2 separate regions of the Mus musculus genome follow, and region 2 is reported to be linked to region 1. Evidence: microRNA targets listed by miRTarBase, many of them from high-throughput screens and not tested one by one. Region 1 holds a microRNA gene; the other region holds the end of a gene's coding sequence.
Evidence for each region. The annotated mature microRNA mmu-miR-322-5p reads CAGCAGCAAUUCAUGUUUUGGA and lies in region 1 at 3,388-3,409, opposite strand. An mRNA with a match to its seed (bases 2 to 7 or 8) in the 3' UTR can be bound and repressed. Matches are read on the target gene's strand: a 7mer-m8 pairs with bases 2 to 8, a 7mer-A1 pairs with bases 2 to 7 and ends in A, and an 8mer does both.

Region 1 (7,601 bases):
GGACAACGGGAAAATAGATCTCTAGAAATTAATGTTAACTTGGTAATGCCCACAGCTCAAGTCTTTTGATCTCTATCAATATATATTCATTGATCTTCCTGAAGCATACTTTTTGAACCTATTTGTATTTTTTTTTTAATCTGCACCGTCTCTCAGGAAATCTGCCTATTAATTAATTTATGTCGTGTAGATTCATCATGTTTCCCTTGCTGTTCCCTCCTCCTCAATGGATTGACAGGTATGGTGCTTTAGAATAATCAGTAAAATAATGGGCATTGCAGAGTCCTTCTTGGGTGTTTGTTTAATTGGACAGTTGCCCATGTTACTGGACATCAAAAGCAACACAGAATTATTTGGTCTCCCAGCACTGGAGTGTATCCAAATGTTTTCCTGTTTAGGATTCAACTTTTCTCCTTGTCTGCGTGCATGCATAAATGCTTTACACAATTACATTTGCTGACTTTTTCTGTGGCCCTGGTTATTGGCATCTAGTTTTTCCAAGTAACATTGACACACATCTGTTCAAATCAATTGACGCTTCTATCAGGACTGACTCATTTGGTGGAAAAAACAAGTTTACATGCCAACTGGAACAAAGGAGCCTAGATTTGGGGGAATAGCAGGAAAAATGAAAACGGTGGGGCCGGATTATTTGACTTACAGATCATAAAACACTTTCCAATAACATTTTAAAAAGGTATACAATATTACACTAGTGACTGGTTATATACTGTACCCCCCTAGTTGGGTGGTTTTCAATATCTAGTGTGGTAAAACGCATATAAATTACAGTTTTTGAAAGATGATTGTACTTTCTTGGAACAGGAGTCTTCTGTGTCCACATCCCCAAGATTGTTGATGTAGTGTTCCCTTGTTGGAAAACCAAACCAAACCAAACCAATATGGCTAGCAGAAGATGCCTTCAGAAGTATTCCTGTTATTAAAATTGTTACAAAATTATGTTCAATTCTAGTGTATCACAATAACCTGAATATCTTGTCCTACAACTTACAGAAATGTCAGAGTTTAGATTTAGAGCCAGGCTAAGCTTTTCATAGTTTTAAGAGCCATGTCTGTCTAGTAACCTTTTACAATGCCACGTGCACACAGCTTCCTCACTAACAAATAACATGTGTTGGGGGAAAAAAAACGGAGAAAACAATGGAGAGGTGCCTCTTTGAATGTGGTAATGGAGGATCAATTAATCAGCCGACCATAAATTGAATCACTTTATACAAGTCTCCCACACATTATCATGCACATTTAGCAATGTTTGAAAAACAATTTAAAAGAATACCTTAGGGAGTTGTTAAAGGGAATTTATAATCTGGAACGAATTGCCATCTTCTTAATTGACATAGAAGTGTTTGGCTAAAATATTGCTTTATTCACATTTTGCCCTTGGAAGAAAATCGAAGCACATCATAACTTCGACTAGGCAAATAAAGGTGCGAAGAGCATTTCAAATCAAAAAAGGGCACCACGCAGCCAGGTGCTATGTGGATGAGCTCAATTTTGGCGCCCTTGGGCACCTTGGGCTAATGGCATCTTAGATTCTTAGTCAGTGGCCTTAAACCTGGATCATTTGCTCCTCTGCTCTAAAGTCCCCAACCCACCTGAATCTCACTTGAATCTTGCAGGCACCCACTGGAAGCAGCCAGATGGCGCAGGCCAGATTCTTCTGGGTGAGTGGGGGCCTTCAGTGAGCCCCGGCGCTCTTCCTCTGGCATAAGGCAAAGCCCTGTTGAACAGTGGAGATGGAGAAGGGAAGTTGGTGAGGGAGAATAGGAAGTCTCAAAGTGCCCCTCCTCCAACCCTGCGCATAGGAACGCGGGGCGCCTGAACCTGTTAGCCATTTGTCTTGGGGATTCCGGGCCAGAGGGGCCCTGCCAAGGGGAGGGGTGAGGCAGGAGCTGGGGGGCGTGGCTTCAAGAAGCCAAGGAGATGGGGGCAAGGCGTGGCTTAAGTTCCAAGGGGTTTCAGTGCTCCTGGGAGCCAGGGGGTCCTTGGGGGCCCAACGGGACCCAAACCACCTCCCACACCTTGTTCAAACGCAAAGGAGTCTGGGAGAAAGGCATTTGGTGGCTAGAGCTAGACTCCCAGGCTCACAAGGCCTCCTCTAACTGTACCTTTTATGGGGGCCTGCACCCAGTCCCTGGGGAAGATGACAAGCAGTTCATACAGACCAGAAGGGTGTGTGTACATGTATTTTATTTCTTTTTAATAAGACAAAGCAGCACGATTTCACCCACACTCCGTTTTCCAACAGTCCTTTACATGCCTATACTCCAGATTATGGAAAGTGATTTTCACAGGAAAAGTACAGTCTTGCTCCAGAAGTTTAACACTCTTCTCCAGTTCCCAGGCGCCTCTTGACCTGTTTTTTTTTTTCACTCCAGGCTCAAAGGGCTCCTCAGGGAAACGGAGGTGCCATGATTAATCACAGCAGAGTTTGGGATGTCACAAAGCAGCCATTTTCTCAGAGACTTCTAGGCAGTGACAAGGGTGTCCCCATGTCCCCACTGCCATGTAGAATTGTGTGATGACTTTGGGAAAGGGGGATAAATGGGGACTAGAAATGCAGAGCCTCACTGAGGCTTCCTGTTGGGCCATTGCCTCTCATTGTACCACCTGGGGGTCCGCACCAGCAAGACACGAAGAGATCCAGGGACACTCCCACGGACCCCTTAATCTTTCCTAAACTGCAAAGAGAAATGGGGACTTTCTCAAGTCATCCTTCCTGCCCTTCAGAACCCTTCTTATTCCTTTTGGAAGGACCCCTTCTCCATTTTGTTGTTGAGGACTTAGGACAAATTTTCTTGTTTCGCTCTTGTGGGTGGTATACTACTTGATGACCAGGAAGTGCTTTTTTTTTTTCCCAGTTGATTCACTTTTACCTGAGCAGCAAGTGAGGCGCTAACAACACACTTTCAGTCACACCCAGTCAGAGTCACAGATCAGCAACTCTAGTTGGGAGCTGTTCTAGAGTCTCCCTCCCATGGGGCCTATGCTGCAGGCTAACCGAAACTTACCTGGTGGGTGTGCCCATGTGGAAGACCCAGACTTACCCAGGCAGTGGAAACAATACTCCAGGGCACCAAACACTCACTGCAGTACTGTTCCCGCTGCTAGGGCACGACTGAGTGGGATGGGCTGAGTACAGGATGCCTTGTCCCTTCTTCAAGTGAATTGCCACCTTGCTATTCACACCCACCCAGGCCCTTGGACTGTGTAGAGTGACCCTCACTAGACTAAGCCCCTGCCCTCCCACCTACCTGCTTTAGGGCTTTTAGTAGAACCCACACAGGTCTGTTCAGCAGGTCCCCACCTTCTACATTCCCCACGAAGGGGTGTTGCAGCGCTTCATGTTTTGAACCTTGGCAATACTCCAAAACATGAATTGCTGCTGCAGCCCTTCGGAGTCAACGAGGGTGGGGGCCGCTCTGGGGTACCTGCGAAGGAAGAAAGTCTCTGTGATTTCCAGGATCTGCTGGTGAGGCAAAGGGTGTACTGTTGGAAAGCAGGGTGTGGTGGATAGTGGGGAGGAGGAGACTCTTACCTCAGAAAGTAGATGAAAAGTGGGATTAAATAAACTGAGACAATTTGGTAACATCTGGATCACTCTTGCCAGCTCCAAAGTCTTGGTGAAACTTCCTGCTACCTTGTATAAGTCTCATTTATTGTCCCCGGGTTTTGATCATTTATTGGAAATTGGTGCAAGGAACTTTTGATAATCAAAAAAAAATCCCTCTGGGTAGTCCCAGTTGGTTTTACTGAATACTATAGGCATGGAATAGACTTGTCTAGTAGTTTCCTCCGTTCTTACAGTAATCACCTCGTCATTAGTTATTTTTAAGGACAAAGCATGAGAATGTTCTAGATGAAACATACATTCCTGGATGTTCTCATACATTGCTGGCTACTCAAGCTTATTTATAAAGACATTTGTTACCATCGACATCAAATCACAAATCAAGAACTTTAAATAAATGACATCCTTAAATACTTGATGTTAAATACAAATCACTCCTTCTTAAGCCACGCCACTGAAAATCTTGTCTTGAAATGGCCGGCACTGTGCGCTCTCCTCAGCTCCCACTGTTGCTTTTCAAAATGGACACACATGAGCAACAAGTTACATTCATTTCCTTGTTTAAACAAAGCATTCAGGAAAGCACAAAAACCATCCTTTAGTCCTTAACCACAAACCTAATAACTAAAACAACAAAACTACAGTGCCTTTGAAAGCAAAAAACATTCTGTATACAAATTTCCTGTATTCTCATTTAAAATTATGTCCGTTTTTCGAAACTAGTACAATGAATGCTGGGTCCTTTTAATTAATTAATAAAATATACAGAGTATGTAATTAAACTAAATACAAAATTCCTAACATAACAGATAATGATCCAGTGCTAACATATGCATTGCTTAGGTCATGATAAATAAAGCCATTAATAATAACAGCCCCACTCCTTAAGTTGGAATGAAAATTCCGTCTTTTCTTGGCTATATTACAAGTCATTTTTACATGGACACGGAATTGTGGAGGAAAAAACCATCGATGGTCACCTTTAAAAAGAGGAGAGAGAAAAGCCGTGTTTAGTAAAGATACAATTATACTTTAAAGATACGTATTTTTCTCCCAATTTAACTTTATGTCCCACACAAATGTCACATCAGAGATTGCAATTCCTCTTAATTTAACATTTCCTTAGTTGACTACTCATAAAAACAAAATTCATTCGAGATAACATCATCAAAAACGAAGGTCTTACTAGATAATTTTGTTAACGAATACACTGGAATCAAATTCATCTCTAGATTATCCTTCATCCATTTCTTTTCTTCCCATCACTCTACAACGACTTATATCCTTAAAAAGCCATCTCACTCCCTGGGTTTGTGTATTTCCCCTTGGGCTTAACTTTACTTACGAAAAGAGAGCACAAAGAGATGTCTGGTCACTTCTAGAGAGGGTCATTCGCTGATACAATAGACAAAGAATCAATACTTTAGGGTTACCATGGCCCCACCCACTTCAGAACCACGACGGGTCAAAATGGCCCCACCCACTTCAGAACTGCGAAGGGTTTGGCCAAATGATTTAAGAGCCAAAGACTAAGCCTCTTCCTCTCTTCCCAGTTGAGAACGTTTTGTCTTTTAATGTTGCAGATGCCATGCGCCCCCACACCCAAAACATGATGCACAGGTCCTCCGCACCTTCCAGCCAAACTTTTCCAATACTGGAAAAAAAAAAAAAACAACTAAACAACCTTGAAAAGTTTTAATTAGCGAGAGACAATGGAAAACGAATTTTACGGTTCTTTCCAGGACATTCTTTACTGCTTACAAATGAGTGGCCCAAAGTCCCATTTACAGTCTGTCAAAACTAGTTGCTCCCCACCCTGGCAAGGCTGACAGCCTGAGGCTGCCCGCCCCTCACTCATTTCTCTCTCCCCACCCCTCCCCGTTTACTCTTCTCAGTCCACTTTCTGAGAAGTTCCCTGGCCACACTCACTTGCTAGACATTTTAAAGATCTGTCCTCCCCCCACCACGACCCCCGGACACGCTTTCCACCCCCACACCCCACCCAGCGCGACGCATAACATTTTTTTGAGAATTATCCCCGTATCTGTTACAGTCTGTAGTGACCAGAGACATAGTTGGGGGCGGGGGGAGGCGGGCCAAAAAGTTCCCTTCCCCCTCGTTTTTTTCTTTTTTAGATTCTAAGTCACCTCTCACTCCACTCGAAAATGGCGCCGAAATCGTAGAACTTCTTAAATTTCATTGTAAGCTTTTTGCAAAGGTTTCTGGGATTTTCCTGCGAAGCTGCTCCTCAGCGTCGACCTAGAAAACAAGCCGGGGAAGCTAGAGAGAGGAAGGAAAAGGCGGGCGGGGAGGCGGACAGACAGACGGACAGCGAGAGAGAAAGGGCGGAGGGGTGTGGCGAGGTTGTGAGGTTAGAAGAGCGAGTCGCGGAGACTTGGGAGGGCGCGAGGTGGCGGTGGTGCGGGACATCGAGGGACAGAGGGACGGACAGCCGGGGAACCGGGGTTCGCGGGGCGAGGGGCTCACAGAGAGGCGTGGCGGAGAAGAACCGGAGCCGGGACGGAGCTGGGCTGGAACCGGGCTGGAATCGGGCTGGAACCGGGCTGGAATCGGGCTGGAATCCGGCTGGAATCGGGTTGGAGCGGTGCTGGAGCCGGCGGAGCTGGCGGAGTTGGGCTGGAGCCGAGCGCACCCCAAGAGGCGAGCGGGAGCAGCCAGCGCCCAGTGGTCCGCAGCAGCCCTAGAAAAAGCCGGCCCGGGGGGCGTGGCCATGCGCTGCTCCGCGCCCCGCCCAACCATTCGCCCGCTCGCTCGGAGGCCCCGGAGCGGAAGGGGGGAGGGGGGAGGCCGTGCGGACACGCAGAGCCACAGCCTTGGCCTGCAGCCAGGAAGGGCCGGGAAGGACACGGGGAGCCTGGAGTGGCCACGTACAGAGAGCCTCATAGCCGCGGGTGCAGGAGACAAAAACCAGGGAGAAAGGGGAAAGGGGAAAAGCGGGAAGGGAAGCAACCAAGCTCCAGCTCAAAGACCCATGCCACAAATGACACTCTAAAGTCACTAGGGCCCAAGTCTTTGGGGCTACCAGGAGGGTACAGGGCGGCTAAGCCAAGCCTCTTAGGACTATTTTTCTTGGGGGTGCCTGAAACAGGATGAGGAAACAAGGGACCCTCAGATTGCAGAAGGGAAGTGCTAGGCGCGCGAGTGTGCCCAGGCTCTGTTGAGTCTTCTGTGCTCTGGCCTCTCTGCCAAACTCTCCCTCAGGTAGAGGACTCCCTTAGGTCCTGGCGGTCCACTTTAGGGGTGGGCATGACACTGAGGCAGGGAACGACAGTTTACTTATACATGTCCAGTCCAAGAAGGAAAGTCTTTACTACTTAAGTTTTGAGTCTGGAGTAGGGAAAGAAAGGGAGTCTTTCTTCTGTATGCTGGATATCTTTAGGGACGGCGCTGTTTACCAGGGAGGTATGAGAACGGTGTTGAAGTTAATAGCAGGGTGTCCAGGGTGACAAGAACTGTGCCTAAGTGTAAAGAGATGAAGTATAAGAGTGATTATGATTTTCAAATGATGCCGCTGACCCAGACAGGCACTCAGAGAGAAGGGGGAACGGGAATGGATTTCAAGGAGCTAACATGAGGTTGCATCTGGGTGGGGAGTCAATAGTCTTTCATTGCACCGCGTTCGCAACTTTCTTGTATATTTGCAAAACGTCACAATAACACAAAGCTGGAAAAACCAGGCATGGTAGCACATGGACCAGTAGAGTCCAGCACTCGGAGGAGGCAGGAGAAACAGAAGTTTAAGGGCGTCCTTGGCTACATAGCAAGTTCGAGGACAGTCTGAGCTTTGTGAAAGACTCAAAAAAAAAAAAAAATCTGGGAGAAATCCCTTATAAAATAGAGCCTGGATGTTAAAAAATAAATAAATAAACTCAGCGTCTCTCTTCCCACCTTTCTTGGGTTGCAGACATCTTTGAGAGAGTGGGATGTAAACTCAGATAGGATTTGGACGGGAAGGGTTTCGCTGGCCTGCAGCAGCTTACACACCCGG
Region 2 (7,601 bases), not on the chromosome of region 1:
CAGCACTCCCATCCTCCTCATTGGCTTGGTTCTCAAGTGACTCCCCTCCCATCCTTCCTTTCGTTAACACCAAACCTTTACAGAGCATTATTTCCGATTGCTCGCCCTGTTCTTCCATTTCCAGTTCCCTCTCAGTTCTACCCTGCCTACTGCCCGCCAATCCACCCAGCCCCTCCCCACCTGCCAGCTGTCTCATTTTATGGTTCTCAAAATGCGACTCAGGAAGGGTCTGCATAAGTTGGAGAGCTGCTTCTCATTTGTTTAGTTAACCTCGCTGGCCCACCAGTACTAGATGAGGTCTCTCTTATTTACATCCACCCTCAGGGACACCATAGGCCATACTGAAATTGCCATTATGTCCTCGCCTTCCTCTAAGCCCCACTCCATAGAAAACGTGTCCTGACCAGCACACCATTGGAAAAGCTCTGACCCCGATCTCTTGATCTGTATCAAGAGAAGTCCAAATAGGGTCCTCATCGTAGTTTCGGTTGGAAACCTGACCTTAGGTTAGTTTACCCGCGGGACCTCTAGGGGACTTAAGCTCTTCCCTGAACTCTCTTAACTTTATGGTCCCGCCTCACCTGGTTTTTTTTTTTTTCTTTCTATCTTTCTTTCTTTTTTTCCTTTTTCTTTTTTTTTCTTTCTTTCTTTTTTTTTTTTTTTTTTTTTGAGACGGGTGTTTCTCTGTATTTCCAGCTGTCCTGGAATTGGCTATGTAGATCAGGCTGGCCTTGAACTCAGAGATCTGCCTGCCTCTGCCACTTGTGCAGAGATTGCAGAGATTAAAGGCGTGCGCCACCACGCCCGGCCGTGCCTTCTTTCTATGTGCATTAGTTCCCTACTTAAATTCTTGAGATTCAGAAAGATTTTTTTTTTTCCCGTAATTGCTCGTTCAGCCCAGCTTTTCCTACTTTTAAAGCTCTGTTGCCTTTGACCGATCTCCCACCCTCTCTCCTGCAGGCTCCTGCCTCCTGCCCAGGATGGCTTCGAGGTGTTGGGCGCAGCCGAGCTGGAAGCTGTTCGTGAGGCCTTCGAGACCGGTGGCCTGGAGGCGGCGCTGTCGTGGGTGCGCGCTGGTCTGGAGCGCCTGGGCAGCGCACGACTGGACTTGGCGGTGGCCGGCACCACCAATGTAGGCCTTGTGCTAGATATGCTGCTGGGGTTGGATCCTGGAGACCCAGGTGCTGCGCCTGCCTCAGCACCCACTGGGCCCACCCCTTATCCTGCTCCAGAGCGCCCCAACGTAGTGCTCTGGACCGTTCCCCTGGGCCCCACGGCCACATCTCCTGCCGTCACCCCTCACCCAACCCACTACGATGCCCTGATCCTTGTCACCCCCGGGGCTCCCACAGAGGAGAACTGGGCCCAGGTCCGCTCATTGGTGTCCCCAGATGCTCCACTCGTCGGTGTGCGCACGGACGGCCAGGGCGAAGATCCACCCGAGGTTCTGGAAGAAGAAAAGGCCCAGAATGCAAGTGATGGGAACTCAGGGGATGCACGCAGCGAAGGAAAGAAAGCTGGCATCGGGGACTCGGGGTGCACTGCCGCTCGGAGCCCGGAGGATGAGCTATGGGAGGTGCTGGAGGAGGCGCCTCCGCCCGTGTTCCCGATGCGGCCCGGCGGTCTCCCAGGCCTCGGAACCTGGCTCCAGCACGCACTGCCCACAGCTCAGGCCGGAGCTCTGCTGCTGGCGCTGCCACCTGCAAGTCCCCGGGCGGCGCGGAGGAAGGCGGCTGCGCTACGGGCAGGGGCGTGGAGGCCAGCCCTGTTGGCTAGCCTGGCGGCGGCCGCCGCCCCAGTACCAGGGCTGGGCTGGGCTTGCGATGTGGCGCTTCTCCGGGGACAGCTGGCCGAGTGGAGGCGCGCGCTAGGCCTCGAACCCGCGGCCGTAGCACGACGTGAGCGCGCCTTGGGCCTGGCTCCCGGAGTACTGGCAACGCGCACGCGCTTCCCGGGCCCGGTGACGCGAGCCGAGGTAGAGGCCAGGCTGGGGTCCTGGGCAGGTGAGGGCACGGCGGGAGGTGCAGCGTTGAGCGCGCTCTCCTTCCTATGGCCCACGGGTGGTGCTGCGGCAACAGGTGGGCTGGGTTACCGTGCTGCGCACGGTGTACTTCTACAAGCCTTAGATGAGATGCTGGCTGATGCGGAGGCGGTGCTGGGACCCCCAGAGCCCAACCAATGAGGTGTGCGGTGGGGCTTGGGGTGTCTGGTGACTGGTTTTGGCCCCACAGCCTCTGAGATTAAGAAGTGACGTTTTGTTATTCAAACCCGGAGACTTGAAGGAGACTGACATCTCGTTGAAACGTGAGATTTACAGTCACCCGATTTCCTAGGTACTGAATGGGAGTAGGGTCTATGCGCCAGAAGTGTGTCATCCAGATACCAATGCAGTAAAGGGAGTTGAGGGCCTGGGACTCAGTAGAAATGGGAGCTTCTTGGCGTCCCGCTGACACCTGGTCATGGATCTCTAGAAGCCTTGATCCCTGCCTGCCTGTGAGCGAAACTGCGGGGAGATAGAAGCCTTGGAGTGCTGGCTCCCAAAAGGAAAGAAGTATAAGTTACCTGATGAAAGAACAGATTTTTGTGGGAGCTGTGAGAGCCTTAGGAAAAGTCTGGTTCCTAAGAAGGCTGTGGTTGCCATTTCTTAGGTGGCAGGAAGCCCTGTGGAGACCAGGGGCCTGCTGGAGACCCTTTAGTCTCTTGGAGTGCAGAAGATTGTCAGTCATTTGCTCTCCAAAGCTTTGGTGTGGACGATAATGATCCACAACATTGAAGGGAAGGGACAAGGGAGTGTGTGGGTAAGGTTGTCTTCTGACAGCTAGAGCCTAGGAATGGGGTCTTTAGGGTATGGAAGATTAGAAACCCACACTTGGAAATACTTCCCGTGGGATCCTGGCAGCTGCCTCTCCGAGCTTTACTGGGAAGGTGTGACTACCCCCATTTTATAGGTGCTGGGTGATTCAGGGTCTCTGGCATGCACGCTCCTGTTTCTCTTTATTACTGGTTTCTTCTGTCATATGGACCTTAACTGCAGGGCCTCAAAGTGATGGGCTCCTGCTGTAGCAGTCTATGTGGTTTTTCTGCATGACCTCTTCTGATTTCTCCCAAGACACCTGCTGCTGGTCCACATAGGATGCTGCTGCTGTGTGTGTGTGTGTGTGTGTGTGTGTGTGTGTGTGTGTGTGTGTAGGGGGTCCCCCTCAGGATAGCTAGGTAGGCCTTTGATGCCGTGGGAAAGTGCCTGGAGGGAGGCATAGGCAGAAACCACATCGCTGTCAGTTTTGTAGCTTTGTGCAGGTAGGACCACGGGGTTCAGAGATGCAGGCCAAAGGCTCATCAACACAGCGGGACAGTGTGTGGCCTGGCCCTGCCTCTTCTCCATTTTCAGCCCATCTCCAGCAAGCCTGATGCCAAGGTCCCACCTCAGGACTTATGCATTTTCTGGTTTTCTGTGGGACACTCTGCCTCCCTGTCTTTTTTTGAGATAGGGTCCTCATCTGTCAGGTCTCCCCGAAATGGCTCTATGGTCACCCAAAGTAGCTTGCATTGATCCTGCCACATGGTAGTCCCTGTAGTGAACATTACTACCAATGGCTGTATTCTCATTCTCTCACTTGCCTGTTCGTTGGCTCTTGCTCCTTGCTTGTCTTTCTCTTGGGTGTACCCTAGCACCCAGAGCAGTGCCTGACACACAGTAGGTGCCTAGTATTTATTTTCTTAGTTTACTGGTCACTGGCACATGGCCTGGAATTCAGGTTGTCATAATCTTGTTACAAAGAGGGAGAGAAGCAAGCACCTGGTGGGAGAGCGAACGGTAGCAGCAGCTTGGCCGCTGTCACTACATGAACGAGGGCCATGTATTTTCACCTGGTCGATGAAAGGACTGGGCTAGACCCATAAGAGCTTCTGAGGGCTAATCAGAAGCCTGCACAGCTGGGCTTTGCTCCCATCTAACCCTGAACTCTCACCTCTGACACCATCCGCCCTACGAGGAGGCACCTTATTCGGGCGTTCATGCCTGTAATCCCCGCACCTCCGGTTGACACAGGAGAATTTGAAATTTAAGGCAGTCTTCGGTGAGAGAGGATTGCAGGCCTGTAAGCTATGCGCCTGTTCCCACTAGAGTCTAGACGGGCCTTGAACTCCACACGGTCTGGAGCCAGCCTGATACTAAGTCCTTGATGCTTGGGTTGGCCAGCTTTGGCCCTGCCTCAGCCTCCCCAGTGCCGGGATTATGACTCTAAACCATCCTAGATCAGCCTGACACTCTTTTCACTAAATCATCAGAACCAATGTGTTCCTACACCCAAGCACACCTCATCACACAATACACCTAATTGGAAATACTTGAACTGATCAATGGAGGGCCCAATTCACATACCCGTGTTTCAATTATATCGATAAGTTCCCCCCAATCATGGGGTTTTGATCAGTGCCTCACATATTAAAGGCAAACACTCTGCTGGAACCATGTACCTAGCCCTGTGCTGGGCTGCAGGTAGGGTTCTGGGCAGGGGCTCTACCACTGAGCCACGCCCCCAGCCCCTCACTGGGGGATTCTAGGCAGGGGCTCTACCACTGAGCCACGCCCCCAGCCCCTCACTGGGGGATTCTAGGCAGGGGCTCCACCACTGAGCTACATCATATTTCAAGACAAGGTCTCACTAAGTTGCTTGGGCTGTCCTTGAACTCACTTTATTCCAGACAGGCCTTGGAATTTGGGATCCTAACCCCTCAGCCTCCCAAGTAACTGGGATCACAGGCCTGCCTCACCTCCTGGCTTAGTAGTTTTCCCTGAACCTGTGATGTTCCAGTGGGTCAAGTACAAATAGAATCTGAGATGGATTTCCCCCCCCCCTCGGTGGCTTTATCCACATACTTGGATCATAGTTCAACAATACAGTCTATTGTGAAAAATCATAACAGCATGAAAGTGAGACATTGCAACCACATTTGGGAAGCTGAGAAATCTTTGTTTCACCCCAGGACCACAGCGCTATGGAATAGTGTTTCAAACAGTAGGTTTCCTCGCCTCATTTAACATAGTCTAGGCACTCCTCCACAGCCATGTCCAGGGTGAACGTAAATTCTGTCAGTTAATATTAACCATCACAGCAGGCATCTAAGAACTTGCTCTGTTACATGTGCACATGTGTGGCTAAGCATGCACACACTGGCATGTGAATGTGCTCACACACATACCCAGCTCCCAGGTACTGCAGCCCCCTCTGAGAAGCTTGACACTCAAATGCTACTCCTCTACTGCCTGGGCCCCACTTCCCTTGGTCTGGCTACAGTAACAGCCAAACTCGGTCTCCTATTAAGTGTCCTGAGCTCTCTAAACCCTCCATGTCTTTTCTGGTATTTTGACATAGCTTAGGCTTGCCTTCACCTCGGCATGTAGCTGGTGATGGCCTTGAAATCCTGATCCTCCTGCCTGCATCTCTCCAGTGCCAGGGTCAGGCACGTGGCATGATGCCCTGCTCTCACTGTGGCTTGCTTTGGTGCCACCTGGCATCCCCGTCCTGTGCTTTGCTGCTCTCCCTTCTTGAGGCAGGAGGCCCATGCTAGATGCATCGAAGGAGCATATTGTAGCCATTGTGTGTGTCCTGGTCAGCTCCATAAACTTGTACAGGGCACTTTTGTGTTTTGTGATTCCTTGCCCATTTTTGTTCTGTTACTTGAGATAGAGGATCCAGGCTGTCTCAAACACTTGGCGCCAGGTGCTTCTCCGGTCCTAGCCTCTCCTTGTCCTGGGTTACAGGTAGAGGTGGCTGCCTTTTAAACTATGATCTCCCACCCCCACCCCTGAGATAGGGCCTTACTCTACAGCTCTGGGCGTCTAAAGAGCTGGGATTACAGGTGTAAATGACTACATATGTTGCCCATACAATCTTTTGTTAGGATTTTCAGGCTTTTCCAGAATGTAAGCAAAGCAGATAGCCAGGCCCCTGGAAGCCTCCAAATAGGAAAGGTTCAGTCTCCCTCGTCACAGGCCACCTGCTGCCAGCAGGGTGCTCCCATGAGGCACCTCGGGTCTGAAAGAGCCTGGGCGCAGGAACTCTGGGAAATGTCAGTCCTCCATGCTGGAATTGCAGCTACACAATCTTGGCATTGCCCTTGAAAGACGAGCAGGTTTCAAACGTTGGTGAATGGATGAGGTGCCCTCCTCAACATGGAGAGAGTCTCACACTTCTGGCTCATGAAGGAGCTGTCTGTTGGAATGTGGGGGACAAATCTGTCTGGTAATCCTGTGGTGTGTTTTGGAAAAAAGAATAAAAGGGTAGGAATGCTATTATGTGTGTCTTCTATTTAATTTATTAATTTTAATTGTGTGGGTGTGTGCTGTGAAAGATGCAGTTTTCACCTGCTGAGCATCTTCCCTGCCGGGCAAGGTGGTGATTTTCAAATGCTTTTAAGTTTGTGATGGCCAAGCAGCTGAACTCTTGAGCCAGCGTGACCCACTGTCCCCCAGTCCAGCCTCTCCGTAGACAAGCACATGGATGCCCTCTCTCAGTCTGGCTCTGGATTTTAGCCACAGGGACGACAGCAAATGTGATGCAATCAGAGGCTTCAAGAGTGCGCATGAATTGAACTTCCTCTCTGCTATCCTTGGGCTCCCTGCTGTCACTGCCACACTGAAAAGCCTACAAAGCTAAGGGTTGGGAATGTATTCCCTTAGAACCTCCCAGTGAGGGGCTGGGGGTGTGGCTCAGTGGTAGAGCTCCTGCCTAGAATCCCCCAGTGAGGGGATGGGGGCGTGGCTCAGTGGTAGAGCCCCTGCCTAGAATTCCCCAGTGAGGGGCTGGGGGCGTGGCTCTGTGGTAGAGCCCCTGCCTAGAATCCCCCAGTGAGGGGCTGGGGGCGTGGCCCAGTGGTAGAGCACCTGCCTAGCATATTCAAGGCTCTAGGTCTATCCCCACTACTGACACAAAATTGACGGAAGCTTTCGGTATGTAGTCTGGGATTCATCCTCCTCCGGCCTCAGCCTCCCAAGCACTGGGTTTGCAGGTGTACTCTACCACATTCTGCTACAATCTTAAACTCTGAGCCAAGCGATGGTAGTGTACTCAGGAGGCAGAGGCGGGTGGATCTCTCGTCTACAGAGTGAGTTCCAGGACAGCCATAGCTACACAGAGAACCCATGCCTCAAAAAACAAACAAACAAAAATAAAAAACCACCACCAACAACAAAACAACCCCCCGTTACATTTGAGCTGTGCAATCTTCAAATTGATACATGCCCCCCCAAGCCCCAGCCTTTGCCTCAAGACTCATCTCAAGAACATAAATGCTACTGAGTGCCTGTCGCCACCATCGAGCAGACAAAATGAGAGGCAGCCTCTCACAGGCCAAGGTGCTCACACTTGCTGTTTCTGAAATTGCCCAGCTCTCTGCCTTCCGACTGGGAGAGAAACCTACTCCTGGTTAGGTATGGCTATGTGACTAGCTCTGTCCCTGGAGCTGAGAGTGTTGAGTCACTTCTGGGTCACACAGTGGTTAATCACACAGGTGAGGCATTTCTAGGCACTTCCCTTTGGCAAAGGCATTGGCTGATCCATACCTGGAATGAGCAGAAACCCGCTTTGGATTATGCTGAA

Region 2: miRTarBase lists Irgq as a target of mmu-miR-322-5p. Seed matches in the 3' UTR shown: 7mer-m8 at 3,115-3,121, 7mer-m8 at 3,135-3,141, 7mer-m8 at 3,138-3,144 and 7mer-m8 at 5,534-5,540.

What each region holds. Positions count from the first base shown.
Region 1 is chrX:53,050,919-53,058,519 of GRCm38, forward strand. Mir322 (microRNA 322) reads right to left here and starts at 3,431; the gene lies at 3,337-3,431. It overlaps C430049B03Rik (RIKEN cDNA C430049B03 gene), which reads right to left and starts at 6,272. Exons shown (of 4, transcript NR_038185.1): 1 at 6,080-6,272; 2 at 5,740-5,851; 3 at 5,224-5,246; 4 at 2,194-4,572. Mir351 (microRNA 351) reads right to left here and starts at 2,435; the gene lies at 2,337-2,435. Mir503 (microRNA 503) reads right to left here and starts at 3,136; the gene lies at 3,066-3,136.
Region 2 is chr7:24,532,306-24,539,906 of GRCm38, forward strand. It overlaps Irgq (immunity-related GTPase family, Q), which reads left to right. Exons shown (of 3, transcript NM_153134.3): 3 at 961-6,295. The coding sequence ends at 2,182. Among named protein-coding and RNA genes, the nearest start is that of Irgq, 5.5 kb to the left of the region's middle.